Linked DNA regions of Drosophila melanogaster. The protein of the gene in region 2 interacts with the protein of the main gene of each other region in a biochemical or structural test. Each region holds a gene or a part of one and is shown on either strand. Other genes may lie near its edges.

Region 1 (3,218 bases), on a different chromosome or scaffold from region 2:
AGTAACTGCTCTCAGTGAAAGCTCAGACTGGCTTAGTTACTTGTATACATGGCACATACTTATATGATAACTACGTATCTTATCTTTCAGATCGACATACTGTGCAACGAGGAGCTGCTCGGCAAGGATCACACGCTGAAGTTCGTCTACGTGACGCGCTGGCGCTTCCGGGATCCGCCGCTTCGGCTGCAGTTTCGTCCGCGGGTCGAGCTCTAACCACTGTTTTAGTATAATGCCACAACAAATGATCTATTTTTATAATTTATTGACAATGCGTAAATATCGTAATTAGGAGAGTCGCTAGTGTTAGTCCCCTCGAAACCATGAGTGTATGTGTAAATGTGCATGTATAAAGTCGTAAATATATGGTTATCCCTCCTAGAATTAAGTAACTTCCACTTCCTAACTCGTGTGACCCTTTTTTTGCCGCCTTCTTTGCTGCATTTGCTCATGATTTAATCAACGTTCTCCGTTTGCAATATTTTATGTTCTCCATTTTTAGTTTGAAATATATATGTATTTATTATTTTAATGTACAAAACACACGAATGTAAATAAATTTGTAATTATGTCGAATGGAGTATGTTCAATATGGGGGACGCCCCGCGTTTCTGTAGCCAAATCGCGGAACTCCAATGAACGGCGGTCGCTGGCGGTATCTGTAGGGGGCCGGTGGAAACGGCGGAGGACGTGGTAGCCTTTGGTATCCAAAACTTTGCTGCATACCAGACATCCCCTGCAAAATCGATTTAAGTTAGATTTGTTATTTGTTTCAATACAAATAACTACTAACGTAGAAATCCTGTGGTGGCACTTGCACATAGTAGTTGATGATCTTTGGCGGAGGATTATACCGATGCGGGCTCCGTTGACGGCGTCTTCGTTCACTGCTGCGACTTCGGCTATGTTGACGGCGTTTTCGTTCACTGCTGCGACTTCGGTTGCGATTGCGGCTCCTAGAGCGCTGGCGATGCCTTCTGTGCCTGCTCTCTCTGATGGACGACTGTGATCTGGATCTGGAGCGAGTGCGTCTGGTGGATTGGTGCGCTCTTTGGCGCAATCTTCTCAACCGATCCTGTTCTCGAACCTCGTCTGCAAAGTACGGAATCTTGTGCTCCTTCTTTCTGCTGTCCCTCTCGCTTGATCGCCCATGGTATTCTCTTTCTCGCCGGGATCGAGACCTTGAGCCACGGGAATCTATGTGAAAAGAGTGTGCGGTTAGTCAATGCATCTAACGCATAGTGTTTGGCGCATCGTCGGAGACGGAATCCACGTAATGCGCAGTTGAGAGTCCTATTGTCCTAGCTTCTCTTTCTCTGTCTGGTCGTCCAGCGTTCATTCTCATCCATTTCACATTTCACACAATATGACACTAGAAAAAAAACAACAAAAAGATGGCACTGGATCAGAATCTGATCAGATCGGTTATACTATATAGTGGGTACCTCGATGCTGGGTTCCACTGCTGTCGGCATCCATTTTCATCGGAAAATGCTGGAAATTAAATGATGCACTTTCCTCAGTGTGACCGTACTCGGCTTGCACCTTGCAATGTGCCCGCCAACTCACTTTTCGACGAACTATCGCTACATATACGTTACTTTTTGAATATTCGAGAGCAACATATCAAAATTTAAAATTAACTCATATACTTTATTAGTTTTTATTTAAGCTAAATTCAACTTTTAGGAAACAAGCGAGTATTTTAACTTTAGGGTTATGCGTTTTCCTTACAAATACTCTGCAAACACGGTTTCATTTCACAAGTACACAATACAATTTTTGTTTAAACTAACTACACAAACATAGGGAAAGCAGAATTAGCAGGCACAAATAAAACAAATTTTAAAATTTAAAACTAATCGGGACACTGATGCGCTCGTTTTCCATGGAGACCACAATGAGCGGCTCCCTTTCGAGCAAATCCTGCCTGGGTGAGCGGAGCAGGCGCACATCGATCTCCGCGTGGCCGCCATCCGGGGATACGTAGCACTCACTGGGACTGATTCGCACCAAATCGGGCACATTGCATGTGACCTCGATGAGCTGCCTGGAGCAGAAGCTGTTGGTTACGGACAAAGTGGCCAGTGGCGAACAGCCCACTCCGAATTCCAGCAAACCTGGCTGCACACACCAGTTTTGCTCGACGGGCGTCAACGTTGTGGTGTCCGCCTCCAATAGCTCATCCACTGGCTCCAATAGATGGCTCTGCGTTGGCGTCGGCGAATTGGCCACACATATGGTGCGGAATAGCACGGTTTCGTCGGCCTCCGGCAGGAACATCAGGGAACTCTCAGACGATTCATCAAAGTCCCGATTGAGGGTAAGCGCAACATCAATAATCCGCACTACTGTGACCAAGTCCAGAATAAACTCTGGCGGTTCGTTCAGCTGACCGATGTTGCGCACTGGCTGCTCGTCCGGAAATTCGCCCCAAATGCTGTCCAGCATCGGCGATGTGAGTTTCTCTCGCTGTCGGCTGCTCATCCTTTGGACCAAGCTACGCATACGCTGTCTGTTGGGCTCGTCTCCGCAGAAAATCCGCATATTGGCCAGGGTCAACACCTGTGCGGTCTTCTTAAGTATGTTCTTCAAGTCCTCACGATTCGGTCGGAAAAGTATCTGCACGCAGCGCTCGCTATTTGGCGGCAATATCAAGCGGCTCGGACGTACCTCGAAGGCCTCGCTGAGGCGCAGTTTCATGAGCACGGTGGAGTCCACTGATATACCAACGAAAGCGGTGAGAGGGCCCTTGTTGTGAAACTTGAGATTCGCCGAAAGCGGACCAGCGGACAGCTCGCATACATCGCCGATGGTAAGGAAACTGGCGCCCACCGGTCCCTTTAGCAGACCGTTTATGGTGATGGACGCACTGCCCCCGTAGCCGTACAACGGAATCTCTAGGCCCGGCTGGTTGCTGTTATGCGCTCCTGGTGGTGCATAGAAAGACAAGGCTCCGATGGCCGCTCCACAGACAGTGGGGCAAAAGTTGATCACTACCGAGCGGCATTCCATGGCTTGGAGTGTGATCGTGCTGCTGTCGGTGCCCACCAGCTGGAATCCGGGTCCCTGGATGCCAAGCCGAATGACCAGCCGTTTGTCCGCTGTGTTCTTAACCTGCATGGACTTACGCACATCTGTCCGCAGCTTTGTGCTTCCCCAACAGAGGGTCGTGTGGGTCACCTTTAGGGGGAGCAGTTTTCCATCGCGATGACTGA
Region 2 (5,744 bases):
CGACCAGTTCGTTCCGTTCGAAATTATAAAAAACAACAAACACAGAGCAGTTCCCACGCGCGTCCGAACAGCTGGTGAATATTTTTTGAAAAACCCAACAACAAAATGCGCGTGTTGCTTATATAGTTTGTTTGCCAGTGTGGCCGTGCTGCAAAGTGACCAAAAATCGTTTTTCGCACAGAGAAATCTGGTATTTTGCGTTAAAACAATACGGTCATCATTGCCCTAATAACAGTCCTCTGTAAAAATCCATAAGCGGGAAGTTTAAAATTGATTCGGAATGCAAAGGTTGTGAAATCCAGAACAGAAGTCTTTCCTGCAGATAATACAAGCAAACTTAATTTGTAATCTTCATAAGTACAGGAACATCCCATAAACACAAATACCTGCTACACGAGTCTAGCAGTCTAATTTTAAGCTCATAATCTCAGCAAGATAAATTGCTAAAAGTATTTGATTGCACCCATCTTATAATGTTGTATTAAAAGCATGACATTTTTCTTAATTTTTATGAATATTTATTGTAAATGTGTATTTCATTTCAAAAATATGTTAGAACTATGGCTTATATGTTGATCGATAAGCAAGGAGAACGAGAGAACTGTTCTGTTCCAAAATTGCTGTGGTATTACTTTTTATTAGGTTAACGAAAGTTCATGCAAATGATGCGGGTGTGGGCTATAGTCGGGGCCTATGAATTTTCGCCCTTCTATTCAAAAAAAATGAAAAACAAAACGCACACGCGACAATCGCCACATTTCAGAGGCAACAATATCAATGGAGACGAAAGATTTGGGTAAAGAGTATATAAATTATAAACTAAATAACGCAAATTAAAAGTTAAATTTGATGTGGCAATCTAACATACCACAGAGAGGCGAGACAGAGGGAGACCGGAACGCATCGGATCGGACCAGACCAAGAACCACTATCCACTATCCAGCGTTGGGCGCAAGTCAACGTTGGATGATGCACAGCAAATCCGTGAAATGACAACGACAGGGGCGCGAAGGCCACGAAATACGCGGTTCCCTGGGTGAGCTAGTTTCTGAAGTGCGATCCAAAGAAGGCGACAACAAAGCGTGTGAGCCTGTCCAAGCGAATCCTAATCCCGACCGTTAGGCAGATGCCGAAGAAGGGGCGAGGCTCGAAGAGATGCGGCCGAGTCCGAAACTGTATGATTTAGTCCTGTCCAAGGGCAACGCAAGTGTTCCTCACCGTCAACGATGCCATCGACATTCTCCTCCTCCAAACATCCGTTAACCTGAACACGACCAAAGTTCACACATAAAATCCTTCAACAATGCGAAATTCCTGTCTCCTCCTCCTCCGAGGTGCGAGTTAGCCATGGGACACTGCATCCCACGTTGTCCTAGCGAAGGGCTCAGAACAATCCTAAATCCAAATCCAATCCTGATTACAATCAAATAAATATTTTCATATTTATAAGATCTATAGACAGGTCCTGCCTCCACTAAATTCAATCCAAATTTATCCAATCCACGCCAAAATCAACATCAAAATATCCTCCTCCACATCCATTAATCCTCATCCTCCACATCCTCATCACTCTCCAAACATAAACGCGCAAAATGGGGAAGAGAAGAAAATAAAAATTAAAGTATTAATAGTTTGCTTATCAATGTGGTTGACATTGCGTTGTGTTCGGATTTCTGTTTCTTTTCTTTATCTCATTACAAACATATTTATTCTGTATCGATGTTTCTTGTTTTCGTTAAGGTAGATTCTAATAAATTAGCTTGGAAAACGTGCAGCCAAAATAAGAGTTATAATATAATATGTAGGAAGCAGACTGAGCAAAGGCTCAAAAGATAATCAAAAGCAAATCAAGGAATGCCGAGTGCTTTTGGCCAAAGAGAATTCCTTGGTTTACAGTTGTCATTTTAGAACTGTTTTTGTCAAATTTTGCCCGGTGGATTATAACTTAAGAGAACATTTCTGCTTCTTAGAACGTGTGATAAGTTGGAAAAGCAAGTGTTTTTCTTTTTTAAGTATGTTGGCTTCGGTGAGAGTTCGGAACTTGACTGAACAAACTTGATTGGTCGTTGATTTCATTTTACAAATCAATTTACAATTGGGGTATTTGAGGGGTCTTGAACAAATATTGATTGGTATTTCCTAATATAGCTTGCTTTTCCTGTTTCCTGCTCATTAAAATATTATAGATTAATGGATAATGCTTGGTTGTGTTTAATAGTTAGAACGTGAGCGAGACCTGGAATAAGATTGACGTCGCACTGGGGAGTATGTGGGAGTGCCACGACGGCGCGGCCTCGACGAGAATGAGCGCGAACGGGATCTGTGGAGGGATTCATAGAATAAATATTGAAAAATGAACTGTGGTAATATTTGGTTTACCTGTCGCGGTAGTCACGGCTTCCACCTCCGCCGCTGCCGCCACCACCTCCACCGCTGCCGCCACCACCACCGCCTCTGTCGTTATCACCGCTATCCTCGCGTACGCGAATGTAGGCAACCTCGCCCTAAAGACAATAAAAATATTAATATCATTTGAATAATGTCGCCAAACTATTTTTCAAAATGTAAACAGGAATGTGAACTAGATGTTTATCAAATTGACACATTTAAGGGCGTAAGTGTAAGCATCTACACCAATATAACTTAATGTTATTCCTGAAATCATATTTAATTATTCCAGCCTGTGAATAATGTATGCTGACAAAATAAATGCAAAAGTAAATTCTCTACCTTGAAACCCGAATACATTTGAATTTTACAAAGTTGGAACTGGACAATTTACATACCTCATGCGATCGGAAGCGAGAGTCGTCCAATTTTTTGATTGCGTACTTCATGTCCTCGTGGCGCAGGAACTCAACGACGCCGGAACCATCCTTGTAAGTGTCCGCGAAGCAGACGTCGCCGGCCTCGCGCATGTGATCCTTGAGATCTTGCCACGATCCGGAGGCGGGCAGTCCAGTAACCATGACGCGGTACTGCGAGCGCTTGGCTGGCGGTCCGCGTCCGCCCATCCGTCCCCCACCGTCGCGGCTTCGGTCATTGCGGTTGCCGCCGCGGTAGCTTCCAGGACCACCGCCCCGCGGGAACTCCACGCGCAGACGATACCCATCGTAGTCGTAGCCGTCGCGCGCCTTCACCGCATCGTCGGCATCCCTAAATTGGGCCAAGAGGCAGCCGGAGGATATGGACCATGGTCAAGGAAGGAAGAGAAGCAGTTGTCGCGAATTAGTTGGGTGTCTTAGCCGGGGCGCTGGGCCAGCTGTGTGTATTCGCATTACTCACCGCGCATCTTCGAACTCAACAAAAGCAAATGGCGGCCCACGCCGATTTTTCAGATCGACGAAAGTTACTTTGCCGAACTTGTGGAACAGGTCCTGGATATCCTTGGTGCGTATATCTGGGGGAAGGTTGCCCACATATATACGGCACTCGTTGCGTGATCCCATTTTCTCCAGTTTAAATCAGACGCTTCGATCTATTTCGATTTTCAGAGAACTTATTTTTGTCACGCTCACAATGACAAATGGCCGACGCAGTATGACCGTTAGTTCGAGTTGGGTAAATCCCTTGGGTGCACAGTAGTTATCGATAATTATAACGTTGATACGAAACTATAGGTGGAAGTTTCGTTGCTTATATCGATAGCTACCCTGTAAGTACTTACTTCGCTTAGTTGGGAATTAGAATGAATAAGTTATTAGAATGAAATAAATTAAGAAGTTTGTGGAATTTCCTCGGTTAAAGGTTATAAGGCAGGGTAAACATAATGTCGTTCCTTTCATTTATATTATAATTTACCGATAGTTATTGCCAATCACGCCGAGCTGCAATGTATTCGCGCAGTGTCACCACTAAGCGTCGTTCAGTCGAAGAAAAGACAACAAATATTTGCATGTGCAATACACTAAACATAAATAGCATTTCGAAAACCACTGAGCCACCGGAAAAATGGCTGCGGCCGGAAGCAACGTTCGCTGCATTAACTACTACGACCTGTGTCGCATCTGCACGGACAGCAGCGATCACAAGACGAACATCTACTCACCCGAGGGACGCGCCAAGAATCTGAGCCAAAAGATACTCGAGTGTCTCTCACTGCAGGTCGTGCTAGTGCATCAATCTCCCATTACTTTTGGCTAACAAACCCATACTTCTTGCAGATCGATGAAAAGGATCGCTTGCCCAAAGTGGTGTGCGCCCAGTGTGTGCAGTTGGTGGAGCAAATCCACGGACTTCGCGCCACTTGCCGTAACTCACAGACCATGCTAAACAACTGTCTCAATATTCGCCCGGCGCCAAGCAGCGACAAGCTATACATTCGGGATGCGGTCGATGAAACTGGGAAGAGCCTCAGTGTGGCGCAGTCAGCTCCACCAGTTCCTAATGGAGCTCAGCAGTCCGGAAATCTCTTGAACAGCATAATCCAGGCGGTAAACATGCAGCCCCAGCAGCAGTACACCATAACGATGGACAACGGGGTACAGCAGCAGCAGCAGCAGCATCAAGCTATGCCGGAAGTTCAAATAAAAAGCGAAAGACAGACGTGAGTGGGAATTCACTTTCATGAAAATCATCTCAATAACATTCTATCCACTTAGTGCTTTGGAAGAGTTTATACGCCTCAAGCCTGACATCAAGATAACGCCGCTGGGGAAAAAGGAGCCCATATCGCCTGCCAAGCCCCAGCAGCAACATTCTCTGCAGTCCCAGACAGTAACGCCTACCATAAACCCTACTCAGTTGCAGTTACAACCGCAGCTAGGCGATCAACTGCAGCCTTTGTGGCAGCAGATTCAACAACTTCAGCTTCAGCAACAACTACAGCAACTGACCAACCAGCTGCAGGCTACCACACAGTACTCCGTCGCTCAGGATGATACGTCAAGTTCTGGCGACAGTAAAAAGCCAAAGTTGAACTTTGTGCTCTCTTCGCCTACAGCGCCCCAGTTCACCACTTCAATGCCGCAATTCGGTGGCAGTCAGCCGCAAATACAGCTGCAGTTGATGCCAGGTAGCGGAGGAGTGACAAGTGCAGGGACAGTTCCTGCCCAGACGCAGCTAAATGCTGCTGCCCTGCTCTCCAGCCTGGCGGGTCCGCAGTCGACAACCAACCTGCTGTCACCAAACAAGTGCTTTCTGCCTATCACCATTCGGGACGAGAATTCGGATCAGCAGATCGTGGCGCACATAGACACCAAGAACCTAGTGTTGCCCACGACATACCAAGTACAGATGAAACTTCAGCCTCAGCTGGCCACTGCGGATGGCCAGCCAATCATGCAGCTGACACCAACATCAATTCCGGCTACTCTGCAACTGACACCGCAAACATTGGGCAATCCAGGAAGCGCCTTCCAGGGCACTACGGTGACGCAAAATCAATTTCTGGCGCCGCAACAACCGCTTACCCAACTTCCAAATACGGCACAAGTGACCTCTCAGCAAATTATTAGATCTCCACATACCAGCACCACCAATTCGCAGTTGGTGATACGGAATGTGACCAATATTCCACCGACTCCCACCACGCCCACTAGCAGCAAGAAAGCCCCCACTTTTAAAACGCCTTCTCCAAAGCAAAAACCGATGCCATCGCCAAAGAGCAAAACTACTGTGGGGCCGTCCTCAGGTGGAAGCAATGGCACGTCCACCAACGAGTTCAAGCGATTGATAACCCAGACAAAGCCACAACCGCAGGTGAAGCAACAGCAGACCGCAGGACTCTCTGCGTCAGGCGCCCC

The links.
Region 1: the proteins of SF2 (region 2) and tra interact in far-western blotting, tested with the Drosophila melanogaster proteins (one study listed by BioGRID).

Annotation. Positions count from the first base shown.
Region 1 is NT_037436.4:16,589,559-16,592,776, forward strand, and holds tra (transformer), read right to left. Parts: upstream 1,493-3,218; 5' UTR 1,486-1,492; coding exon 1,446-1,485; intron 1,373-1,445; coding exon of another isoform or gene 1,302-1,372; exon of another isoform or gene 1,198-1,301; coding exon 794-1,197; intron 737-793; coding exon 587-736; 3' UTR 501-586; downstream 1-500. Other genes in the region: l(3)73Ah (lethal (3) 73Ah), read left to right, coding at 91-216; spd-2 (spindle defective 2), read right to left, coding at 1,846-3,218. UniProt on the Drosophila melanogaster protein: Member of the regulatory pathway controlling female somatic sexual differentiation, regulated by Sxl. Activates dsx female-specific splicing by promoting the formation of a splicing enhancer complex which consists of tra, tra2 and sr proteins.
Region 2 is NT_033777.3:16,338,443-16,344,186, forward strand, and holds SF2 (splicing factor 2), read right to left. Parts: upstream 3,547-5,744; 5' UTR 3,450-3,546; coding exon 3,286-3,449; intron 3,157-3,285; coding exon 2,787-3,156; intron 2,505-2,786; coding exon 2,380-2,504; intron 2,321-2,379; coding exon 2,212-2,320; 3' UTR 501-2,211; downstream 1-500. Other genes in the region: pad (poils au dos), read left to right, coding at 3,952-4,104, 4,164-4,546, 4,602-5,744.